3 linked regions of the Rattus norvegicus genome follow. The protein of the gene in region 2 binds, or shares a complex with, the protein of the main gene of each other region. Links are inferred from orthologs where the notes say so. Each region holds a gene or a part of one and is shown on either strand. Other genes may lie near its edges.

What was found.
Region 1: the proteins of Mapt (region 2) and Pin1 are in contact, whole or in part, in an NMR structure (PDB 1I8H), measured with the Homo sapiens proteins. The link is inferred for Rattus norvegicus from reciprocal best matches to the Homo sapiens genes MAPT and PIN1. Residues at the interface, in NP_058519.3 of Homo sapiens: Val546, Arg547, Thr548, Pro549, Pro550, Lys551, Ser552, Pro553; in NP_006212.1 of Homo sapiens: Arg17, Val22, Ser32, Gln33, Trp34.
Region 3: the proteins of Mapt (region 2) and Ywhaz are in contact, whole or in part, in a crystal structure (PDB 8QDV), measured with the Homo sapiens proteins. The link is inferred for Rattus norvegicus from reciprocal best matches to the Homo sapiens genes MAPT and YWHAZ. Residues at the interface, in NP_058519.3 of Homo sapiens: Ser637, Cys639, Gly640, Ser641, Leu642, Asn644, Ile645, His646, His647; in NP_001129171.1 of Homo sapiens: Glu14, Leu43, Ser45, Val46, Lys49, Arg56, Arg60, Lys120, Arg127, Tyr128, Glu131, Gly169, Leu172, Asn173, Val176, Glu180, Ile217, Leu220, Asn224.

What each region holds. Positions count from the first base shown.
Region 1 is NC_086026.1:27,468,627-27,472,270, reverse strand, and holds part of Pin1 (peptidyl-prolyl cis-trans isomerase NIMA-interacting 1), read right to left. Parts: intron 3,281-3,644; coding exon 3,062-3,280; intron 1-3,061. UniProt on the Homo sapiens protein: Peptidyl-prolyl cis/trans isomerase (PPIase) that binds to and isomerizes specific phosphorylated Ser/Thr-Pro (pSer/Thr-Pro) motifs.
Region 2 is NC_086028.1:89,725,587-89,729,230, forward strand, and holds part of Mapt (microtubule-associated protein tau), read left to right. Parts: intron 1-1,459; coding exon 1,460-1,541; intron 1,542-2,686; coding exon 2,687-2,799; intron 2,800-3,644. UniProt on the Homo sapiens protein: Promotes microtubule assembly and stability, and might be involved in the establishment and maintenance of neuronal polarity.
Region 3 is NC_086025.1:69,845,857-69,850,296, forward strand, and holds the start of Ywhaz (14-3-3 protein zeta/delta), read right to left. Parts: upstream 2,847-4,440; 5' UTR 2,797-2,846; intron 206-2,796; 5' UTR 195-205; coding exon 1-194.

The sequences.
Region 1 (3,644 bases), on a different chromosome or scaffold from region 2:
GTTGTTCTGAGGGATGAGTGAATGACTGCCATGGTCAGGGCTGATGTAGAACAAACCCTTGACAACGATGCAAATGCTTATTCCTCTGCTATGGGCTGCATGCCAGTGTCCTGACATCATTATGAAGAAGCCATGGTTCCTGGTATGACTATCCTGGGAGACAAGGAGTCTGTAAGGGTGGGCCCTGAATAATCCGATGAGTACCTATTCATAAGAAGAGGTACAGCCAGGCTTTAGCTCAACTGGTAGATTGTTCTTCCTACACCAGGCCCCAGGTTCCATCTCTAAATCAGGGACAGCAGTGCAAACCTGTAATCCCAGCACTTAGGAGCCAGAGATGAGCAGGTTAGAATTCAAGGTCACTGTTGGCTACATGGGGAATTACCAGGCTGCCTAGGCTCTAAATTTAAAGGGAGATGAAGAGAGCCAAGGTGCACACCTTTAATCCCAGCACTGAGAGGCAGCAGCAGAGGACCTCTAGTATAGTCTACACAGAGAGCTCCAGGACAGCCAGGGCCACACAGAGAAACCCTGTCTTAAAAAACCAAGCCAAGCCGAATGACAGCCAAGGCCACCAAAGGACATGACAGAAGGAGCTACCTGCAAGTCAGAAAAGCAATCTCTCTAGGAATGTACAGGGGAGAGTGGGAAAGGTGGTGGCTGGTTTTTGAGAGTGACTCTAGGGGAAACATGAGGCATAGATTTTTGAGGAACTGTGAGAAGGAAACTAAGCTACAGAGCTTAAGGCATTGCGTTGCTGCAGACTAAGGTACATAAGGAACCAAAAGGGTGGTTCCTCAACCTGAAAATGTTTAGATCACAGGCTGCCAACAGGGGAAGGGTGTGGTTGGGGAGGGCCAGAGACACAGCCACAGGCCCCCAGGCTGGGTGGACGTCACTCGGCCAGAGGAGGTGGCTCATCTTGGAAGCCTGCCTGGAAAGGGTGCTGCTCACACTCTGGTTCTGGTCTCCCTGGACTCTCAGGACCTGGATGAGCAGGGACAAGGCAACAGGAACAGGGAGCCAGGGTATGTCCACAGCTTGGCTGTCCCAGACAAGGACATGGCAACGACACAGCTGGGCCTCAGGCTTCTGGCTGCTGTCCAGCAGCTGTAGAGGAGCCAGTGCAGGAATGCGGAGGGTCTGTTTCCTCGAGGCACCCCAGGCCCAGGCTAGCAGTGGGGTAGACACTGCTCCTGACACTGTCACCTGATCCCCCTGCGATAAGCTCTAGGTTCCAGGTGAGCCAGTGTTCTCAATGAAACCACACAAACTGGAGAGCTGGGCCAGTGCTTAGGAGCCTGGCTGGCTCTTCCTGAGGACCCAGGTTTGGGTTACAGCATACACACGGCGGCTCACAAGTGCCTGTAACTCTAGTTCCTGGGCATCTGATGTATGGCCTGTATGGGCAGCAGGCATTCATGTAGTGTATATAAAAATAAACACACACATCACACAAAAGGCTGGCAAGATGGCCTAACAGGTGACTGCACTTGCTGCCAAGCCTACTGATCTGAGTTCAATCCCTGGGACTCATACAGTGGGCGAAAGTCCACCCCTAAGAATTGTCCTTTGACTTCCACACTTCCATACACACACGGCTGAAAAGATAGATTAGATGCCTGTAGCACAGGCTAAGTTTACAAAAAACCTGGGTTTAGTTTACAGCACCCACGTAGTAGCTGAAAAAACCTAACACAATTTTAACTCGATGCCTTCTAAACTCCTCTGACACCAGGCACACACATGCTACATATACATACACACATGCAGGCAAACACCTATACACATATTCATCAAAACAGACTCCTCACTCTACAGGGCCGGCTCTGTGCTTACCAGTTCCTGGTCTATTGCCCAGGCCTCTCCCTGATGACATCATCACTCAGGATGACTCCCATTGTCCAAGGCTGCCTTCTATCACTGCACTGCTGCAATGGCCTCTGGGATGTCTCCGTGCTCATTTCACACAAGAGAAAACTGAGTCTTGAGTGAAGCTCCAAATCTCCTAGATCACAGAGCTCATCAAACACTGCTACTATCAAGTAAGGGTGCTGACTTTCTAGACCTGGCCACTCCAAATGGCAAGCAGAAAAGAAAGAGCGAGGGCCTGCATGGGCCAAGCTCATCCCAATATAGGCACTTCTTTTCAAGATAAGGTCGTCACGTGGCTTGAACTCAGTATGTGGGACCTAGGACTTAAAAAGAATGCATTTATATGTGCATACATGCTACTGAGTCAGAATACAGCCCGAGGGAGTAGGTTCTCTTCTTCCACTATGTAGGTCCCAGGAACTGAATTCAGGCCCTCAAGTTTAGTGGCAAGTGTCTTCCCAGCCCCAGCCTGAACCTCTGATTCTCTGTCTCTATCTCCATGCAGAGATTACAGGTTTGCATGATCATGCCAGGTTCACAGGGTCCTAGGGACTAAAGCCAAGGTTTCCCGAGAGTTGGGGAAGCACGTTAACAACTGAGTCACAACCCTAATACAGTATAGCACTTTTCCAGGAGTGACTGCTGACCAGACGGGGTGAGGGTCTGGTGGGACTTCTACACGGTCCGTGATGAGGAATGCTTATTGTCCACGTGACGAATCCAGAGTGGCTGGGGTTCTCTTTTAAATCCAGAGAAGGCAAGCTGAGCACTAACTAGCAAATACATCATTCTTTGTTCCTGACAAGGTTGTGATAGGATCTGCTCCTTCACTATGACTTCCCTGTGTGGTGAACTGTGACCTGGAACTGTGTGTGACATGAGCCCAAACAAACCTTTCTCTATTAAACTGCTTAGCAGTTAAACTGTACTGATTTGTTGGGGCAGGAAAGCATACATTCCATGGTGGGATGAGAGAACTCCCAGGAGTGGGCTCTCCACCACATGCATCCTGGAATGGAACCTAGGCCCGCAGCTTTAGCAGCAAGTGCCTTTGCCTGCTGAACCCTCTTGTTGGCCCTTGTCAAGAGTACTTTGTCACAGGAACAGGAAAAGAAAGTGAGATAGGCCCTCTGGCCCAGCTGAAAGAGGCCTTCCAACAAGCCCCTGCTCCCCTGCCCCTGCTCACCATTGATCAGCTCCAAGGCCTCCTCTTTGCTCCTGGTGATCTTTTCCTGCCGCCAGGATGAGGGCCTCCGAGATTGGCTGTGCTTCACCAGCAGGTGTGAGCAGCGCACCCTGGCAGGCTCACCCTGGCCATTCTTGCTGCCGCCTCCAACGGTGCTGCCTCCGCTGGGCCGCTCCCACTGGCTGGCGTTGGTGATGTGATTGAAGTAGTAGACACGGCCTGGGGGAGAGCAGCACCTACTTCAGCTGGGGCTGGTCTGAGGAGGACTCCATCCCAAAAGCTAGGATGAGGACTGGCTTGGGAGGTATCTTCTTTAACAGATCCATTTCCTGGTCTACCCCATGCTATAGGCTTGGGAGGATGCTGTCCCCATAGGACCTGTCAGGACTATGCTAATGCTTTAGGTGGTACCAGACAGACACTAAACCAGTAAATCAGATAAAACAGCTTCCAGGCCTTCTAGATGGCTCGGCAAATAAAGGAACTTGCCAAGTCTGACAACCTGAGTTTGATCTCCAGGAACTTGCCAAGTGGAAGGAGAGAACCCATCAGTCTCAAGATGTCCTCTGACCTCCACATGGCA
Region 2 (3,644 bases):
AGTACCACAGTCAGCTGCTCCCCAATTCACCACACAGTACATTCCTTTCTCCTTTGACCATTCCAGGCTACCTATTCCCCATCTCCTATTCCCCAACACAACCCCTGGTACGACTCTCTAATGACTTTACCTGGGCCAGAGGGGAAGGGGTAGGGCCAGAGGGGAAAGGGGTAGGTCCCTGTAGCATTCCTGTACCTTTTTGGAGGCCCTTGGCTCCTCCTTCATTACCTGCCCCAGAGCTCCTGCTGGCCTCTGGATCTGTTTGCTGAAGGTCCTTGGGATTATCTGCTCCTTGCCCACCCTCTGCAGGGGAAGGCTGACACCCTAGCTCACTGATTTGTGAGGCCACGGCCCTCCTCTTCTGTCAGGTTCATGAGCAGAAAGCGTGTGCGCACGCACACACACACACACACACACACACACACACACACACACACCCCACAGAACACCATCAGCACAGCTAGCTATGAAAACAAGAAGGAGTTATCCTTTGAGACCTCTGTAGCAACCACCTTGCTTTATTGATTCTTGAACATGAGGCCACCCCTCTCTCGGGACAGGAGATGAGACTCCTCACCCCTGGAATGACCATGGTCTGTATGGGAGACCCACAGGACTCAGCAAGTGGCCGCTCATGACTAGCTGTCTAAGCTGTAAAACCACAGATCTGAGAGACTGGCTTTTAGGAGCCCCATCTGCCTGGGTGGTCTCCTTCAGGGTGTCCTGTCAGGGAAGCAGCCACCATTTCCCAGGGCAGGCATTGTTGCTGGGTCACATGAAGGACCCTTGAGCTGGCAGGGCTCCCTGTGTGTCCTGTCTGCTCACTTATGCTTGCTGAGACACTCACTGAAGCTGTGGTTCCTGCTATGTGCCTGCCTTCCGTTGGTGTCGCTTTGCTCTCCTCAGTAGAGGCTGAAGTGCTCAGGAGTCTGTATGTCCAGACACGAACTGGCTCTTACCCTGAGTCATAGAGTCGTTCTAGGTCCTGTCTGCTGACCTAGACCATGGGAGCTTCATGGATGAAGCACACACATCCTCACCGGCTTCTCCTCTGAGTCTCTTCTGAGGAGAAGGTGCAGGGCTGCCTAGGCCCATCACTTCCTCCTCCACTGGGTGTCATCAATTTCATCAATAAAAGGATTTATGTTTTTATATTTAAGTATCCGCTACATAGATACCGTGGTCACATACAAGGACCAGGCACCTCTGCTTTTCCGTGACAGTGTCTTGTGTATCTGGGATTGAAGATGTTTAGGTCTCACAGCTACTTGGTGAGGACCCAGCTCCCTGGGGGATGGAGGTTGGCTGGATTTGGGGAGCATAGTTTCCATCCCGAGTGGGATGTATTCAGGAGCTGATGGGAGCCACTGACAAGTGGTCCATTCGGCTTTGCACTGTTACCCCTGGTAACACAACTTCCTTTGTTCTCTGTCTCTTCCCCATCCTCCTTGACCTGCAGGTGCAAATAGTCTACAAGCCAGTGGACCTGAGCAAGGTGACCTCCAAGTGTGGTTCCTTAGGGAACATCCATCACAAGCCAGGTAGCACTTGAGGGAGGGAGGCTTTGGGGCAGAAGGGTGCTGGCTGGGCTGGTGGGTGCTTCCTAGAGTAGGCCAACCTGGGCAGTGAATGTTAAATGGGAAACTGCTGTGTGGCCTGGGGCCTGGGTTTGCCCCTGCTTCTCAGCCTAGACAAGGGGTAGAAGGAGAGGAGGAACTGGTTTTAGATCCATCCTGTTGCTCTCCTGAAATGCCTGTATAAAAGGGCCAGCCCTGGGGGTTGGGGATTTAGCTCAGTGGTAGAGCGCTTGCCTAGCAAGCCTAAGGCCCTGGGTTCGGTTCCCAGCTCCCGAAAAAAAGAAAAAAAAAAAAAAAAAGGGCCAGCCCTGGGTCTGGTTGGCGTCCTCCAAAGGCTGGCTCTGTCAATATCCCAGCACGGGGGACACTTTGACTGCACCAGCTATAACATGAGAGCTTCTGGGCTGTTGTCTTATCCTCACTGTAAGGTTGTTCGAAGAAAGTACCCTTCCCAGGAAAACAGCAAAGGTCCCTTCCTCCTGCTACCCTCTGGTGTGGTGACCTGAGCCAAAGGGGAGGTTAGGCTCTCTCTCCTTATTGTACATTTAACAGACAGTTCAATCTCAAGGACTTGAGGGGCTGTGGCTTACAATCCTGTACAAAATTCCTAAGAAAATCTCCACAGCTGGAAGGCGTCTGGTTTTAAAATTTAGCGCGCCTTCTCCTGGCCAAGCTTCATCTACCCCTGAACCATCTCAGGAGGAAGATTTTGCAGGGTAAATATCCTCTGTGCACCCTCTCCTTAGAGAAGAGGCAGGTAGTTTGCAAGCACTAACAAGAGCTTCCTGTGGCTAAGTCTCTTTTCTAGATGAGGTAGAGCCCAGGCAACTCTCAGAGAATGGGCTGTTCCTTGGATCACTGGCCCAGCCTGTGTTGGAGTCAGAATGGACGTGTCTCCTGAATGGTGACACATGACCGATCTATCTATCTATCTATCTATCTATCTATCTATCTATCTATCTATCTATCTATCTATCTATCTATCTATCTAATCGAGTCTCCAGCAGCCCCCAAGCCCCCAAGCTCTGGAGGCTGCAAGCTCGTTTAGCATGTGCTAAGTCCCCCAGACCACAGAAGATGACGAGAGACTCATGTGCGTTGTATTCCAGGAGGTGGCCAGGTAGAAGTAAAATCAGAGAAGCTGGACTTCAAGGATAGAGTCCAGTCGAAGATTGGCTCCTTGGATAACATCACCCATGTCCCTGGAGGAGGGAATAAGAAGGTAAGGGGGGGGCAAATGGGAGGTCATATGGGGATGTGAGGGTTAACACAGTGGATGAGACTGGTCCCAGAGCAGTGGTTCTCAATCTGTCCCTTGGAGATAGAATGTCATATCCTGCATGTCAGATATTTACATCACAGTAAATTTACATAACAGTAGCAAGATTACAGTTATGAAGTAGCAATGACATGATTTTATTTATTTTTTAAGATTTTATTTTTATTTATTTATTTATTTATTTATTTATTTATTTTTATTTTATATATGTGAGTATACTGCACTGTCTTCACACACACCAGAAGAGGGCATCAGATCCCATTACAGATGGTCGTGAGCCACCATGAGGTTGCTGGGAATTGAACTCAGGGCCTTGGCAAGAACAATCAGGGCTCTTAATCACTGAGTCATCTTTCCAGCCCAACATAATTTTGTGGCTGGGGAATCACCATGGCATGAGGCACTGTATTAAAGGGACGCAGCATTAGGAGGGTTGTCCTAGAGGGTTCTCTACGGACTATCTGGAATAGATTCTCATCCTCACGTTGTGTACCAAGAACAAGGCAGGAGACTGAAGGCAGCTCTTTCCCACTAGTTACCAGAGAGCTCGAGCAAAGTCGTAATGCTAACTGAGCCTGTGGCCCAGCTGGCAGAGAGGTTGTCCAACATGCACAGAACCCTGGGTCATGCCTCAGACTGCCATCTCATGCTTTCTACTTCCTCTTGGACTCCTGGCTATGGCATTGTTCCCCACCTATGTTCTGTGTGTGTGTGTGTGTGTGTGTGTGTGTGTGTGTGTGCGCGCGCGCATGTGTGTGCGTGTGTGTGTGTGCACATGTGTGTGTTAC
Region 3 (4,440 bases), on a different chromosome or scaffold from region 2:
ATACTCGAGACGACCCTCCAAGATGACCTACGGGCTCCTACAACGTTTTTATAAGCAACAGAGAGAAGGTTCCTCTCCTCGTTAGACAGCTCGGCTCCTTGCTCAGTGACAGACTTCATGCAGGCTGCCATGTCATCGTATCGCTCTGCCTGCTCGGCCAGCTTGGCCTTCTGCACCAGCTCATTTTTATCCATAACTGGATATTCTGCAAGGTGAACAAGAGAAACACTCAGAAAACTCCTGTGAAAAACACACACTCGTTATACCTGTCGTAAATAAGGCACACCAGCATCTCAAACCTAGCTTGAGGAATTAAAACACCCCCACGCCCCCAAACCAACCAGAAAACTAGCATAGTCTGAATATTAACAGTGGGTTAGTCAAACTGCATGTTCCAGATGTTCAGAAGATCCCAATTTCAAGTAAGATCAAAGCATATATGGACATATAAGCTACTTAAAAACCCACCTCTATTTTCTTTGGCCAAAGTATCACTTGATCCTAATACCACTAAATGACCCACTTGAGCAGCGTTCCCTCGAGTGTGTGAATGGGGGTGAAGGGGGTTGTGGGTAGGGACCCTCGAAATGTGTGCATGGAGGTGAAGGGGTTGTGGGAAGGGACCCTCGAGTGTGTGCATGGGGATGAAGGGGTTAGGGATAGGGACCCTCAGGTGTGTACATGGGATGAAGGGGTTGTGGGTAGGGACCCTCAGGTGTGTACATGGGCATGAGGGGATTGTGGGTAGGGACCCTCAGGTGTGTGCATGGGCATCAAGGATTAGGGTAGGGACTGGGATCTACAATGCTTATGAAGTGCATACCTACAGAATCGTGAGTCATGTCAGTGTAATGTAACTCATATACTCTAACCTTTATATGTATATATTCTTACCAAGAGTGACTGAGTTTTATTTAGCACCTCCCCAACCCTGATCTACTACACTTGTAACATTTGCCAGCTGATCATGGAATAAAAATTATCTCAAGATAATTGGCTAATTGCTGCTTAAGACATCTTGAACACACTACCACTAGGACTCACTAAAGCCAAGACCAAATCTGTCTCTATATGGCATTGTATGACCTCTTGCTTCAGCACACACCCATACTTCCTACTATGAGTGTGCACTGAGTCTACAACACACGGAAGGACCCGAGTGCTTCCAATGTCTACCGCATTATTTCTAGCTCGAGTCACAGAAGTACTCAAGCTCTTCTTTTTCATAGTTTCTCAGTTTTCTTTTGCTCAATTTCAACGATCTCTAGATTCCAATTTACTTATTTCTTCAACCATGTCAAGAGCAAGATTCTAAATCATATAGTGATCCCACAAAATATAAAGAAAAAGTCACAACCTGAAGGCACATCGAAAGGCATAAGAGTCACAGCCGCCCACCATGGAAATTATCAAATCCTTTCCTTTCCCTTTCCAGAAAGGACGACCTCTTTTTGGTTGGCCAAACGAGCAGTGTCCAGAACAGAAACACGGAGCTAGCTTAAATTCGAGACACAGTACCTTCAGTGCATCAACTATTTAAAATTTGTGAACCCATACTTCCCCCCCGGGGTCTCGAAATCTAACATCAGAAACCGTCTCTGGTAAATGTTGCTTCCAAAAAATGATGTAAGCCCAGTCAGTACAAACGTTCCTCTGCCAACCTCCCGTATAAGGGGAAGTGGATTAGGTTTCTCACAGGAAAACTAGTGCTCCCGGACCTCGCCTTCAGACTGCGGGAATACTCGCCGCACCCACTTAACCCTTAGCTGCCCGAGGCCGGCGGGTGGGGCGAACCGAAACCGCGCAGCGGTGACTTTAAAGCGCTAGTCCTGGCGTCCGCGCCATCCGCAGCCACCTCCCCTCCTTGGCTCCGCCCAGGCTGGTGCCTCCGCGCTAGTCCCCGACTCTCTTTGTCATGGCGGAACTGTGTCAAGGAGCCCAACCTACTCCGACTGTGAATCCCCCCCCCAACCCGGGCAGAGGGTGGAGCAGTCCGCGCACCCGCCCCAGTCGGATGGTGGGGGGGGGGAGGGAGAGCGACTCACCCTCCCGGGGGCCCGATGCCATCCGCGCCCGCAGAAGCGGAACCGCGGCCGACCCGCGCCGGACACACCCCGCTCCCGCCCAGGGTCCCCTCCGCCTGTGTCCGACCGGAGTCCCGAAGCCCGGACAGCTGCGGTAGGGGGAGGGGCAGGGCCCCACCCAGACAGGCGCAGCCCCCACTAGGGGGCCGGGGCTCCGGGAAGGATGCGCACCTCCCACCGGCCCGGGACGCTGGGGACCCCGAGCCCCTGTGACCCCATGCCTAGCTCTGGCCGCGCCCCTCCCCCACCGCGCGCCCCGAGAGTCCTTTCCGGCATTGCGGGACCCAGCAAGCCCAACTCAGGGTCCCCGACGAGCCCCACCCCAGCGCCCCGCATGCTACCTGGCTGCCCCCCGCGTGGGGGAGGGGTGGCGGGGGTACCGCGGGTGGGGGCGGCCTCACCTGCGCCACGACCGAGTCACAGTCGCGGGCGGAAGCAGGGTGCCGGCGGGGGCGGATCGCGGTCGCCCTGGGGAGTAGGAGCCCCTGGGTATCGCGCGTGGGCGCCTGATCCGCCACCCCCACCCGGGGACCAGAACGGGGCGATGAGCAGCCGGGCAGGCCAGAAGCAAGCGGCCGGGGGCGGCGGTGGGCGCCTGCCCGGGCCCGGCGGAGCCGAGCCGCCGCCCGGGTCCTCCAGGGGAGACCCCTCTCGGCCCGCAGCGCAGCGGAGGGCTGAAGGGAGCGGAGGCCGACTCAGGGCGGCTTCTCACCTGTGTCCGGAGTGGGTGGCGGCACACGGACCCGGCTCGGCAGTCTCTGGGCGGCGGCAGCGGTGGCGGCGAGGCTGAGACTCTGTCCCTGATCTGGCTGCTCACAGGCTACAGCCGCTCCGCAGACACGGGGTTTCCTCCAATCACTAGCCCCGGCAGCAGGGGCACCACACGCACGATGACGTCAAACGCTGCTATGGCAACCGTTGATTGGTGCCCACAGTTCTCCGGCCCAGCGCAACCGCCGCTCCCCTGCGCGCGCCCGGCCGGCCCGCCCGCGCCCGAGGGCGAGCGGAGGAGAGCGCGTACCCGCGCTCCGCTCCGCTCCAGACCCTGCCTTCACCCGCGTGCTCAGTTCTCTCCCCACCGCCCCCGCGAGCTGCCCTCCCTCCCCGCCCCTGCGGCCCGCGGAAGGAAGCCTCTCCCCGCCCCCACCTCTACTGGCGGGCACATCCGGGACCTTCGCATCTCCCCACCCCACCCCCTCCCGCCTGGCCGCCCTCTCTCTGCGCTGGTAATGGCGGCGGGCAGGCTGCAGGGCAGGGTGACAGCGGCTCTACTGCCAGGGCATTGTGATCAGAACCCCGGAGCAGGGCAGCGGCCCCGCCGTCGCGGGGCGGGGCGGGCGCGGTTGCTCCCTCCCGCGGTCCGCTTTACCTGCCTGCTGCAGGAAGCGGCCTTAGACCTTTTAAGGCTTGGAAAAGCGCGAGGCTGAATGACGCCCTGCCCTTCCAGTCGCGAGTTCGGCGTCCGCACCGTGACAGCCTCGGGGACAATGGGTGGTCGCTGGGAGGAGCGGGGAAAGGGTTGGGTTTGCGAGTTGGACGTGATCGTAGAAGCCTGACTTGGGGCGAAGCGGGGAAACAGGCTAGAACACACCGAACTGCTCTTCATGGTCTACGCTTTTACCCTCCGTAGGGCTTTCATTGGGAGACGCATCGTTCCTAACTAACGCATTGTAAGAGTGTGACCCTTTTAGGTTCTGGAAGCAAGGTTTGGGAGCGTGGTCGTTCCTAGGGCCCTAGTGGAGGAGGAGCAGCAGGGCTTCTACGCCCGGAAGAAGGGGGGGGGGAGGAAAAGGGCGGAAATTGCAGGTGCCTGAACCCACAAGGTCTCCACCCAGGAGACGGAAGTTGAAAGGAGATGCAGTTTCTGTATGAAGTATCTGCTTTTGCTCCTTTTAACTGTGCTCCTCTGAGCTAAAACATTTTTTGGGGGCTACACTAAGCACAACTGAAAAAAGAACCTCAGGAATTCGGCCCAGAGCTCTCTGGAAGACTTCATAACAAGCTATTCTTTCCCTACCACTGTCTTATCCGTATGTTGGATACATTGTCTGAACCACAAGCTTGTTCTACAAATTATAACTTGCCTGAAATGACAGCTAGCTAAAGATTTGCCTGTGACCAGTCGCTCCCCTCGCCAATCACCCCCCCACAACCCGTTTCCACAGCAATAGATTCATAACATGCTAAGCAGATGAGCAAATTAATGCAGGTTTTACTTCCAAGATACTGAAGTCAACTTACTTTGGCTTCAATGTAAATTCTTTCAGGGAGTGACTCACTTAAAATGACTTGTTTCAAAAGCTTTCATGTTTCCAGTTCTGTTGTAGGCGCTAGAAATTTGACAGAAGATACTAGG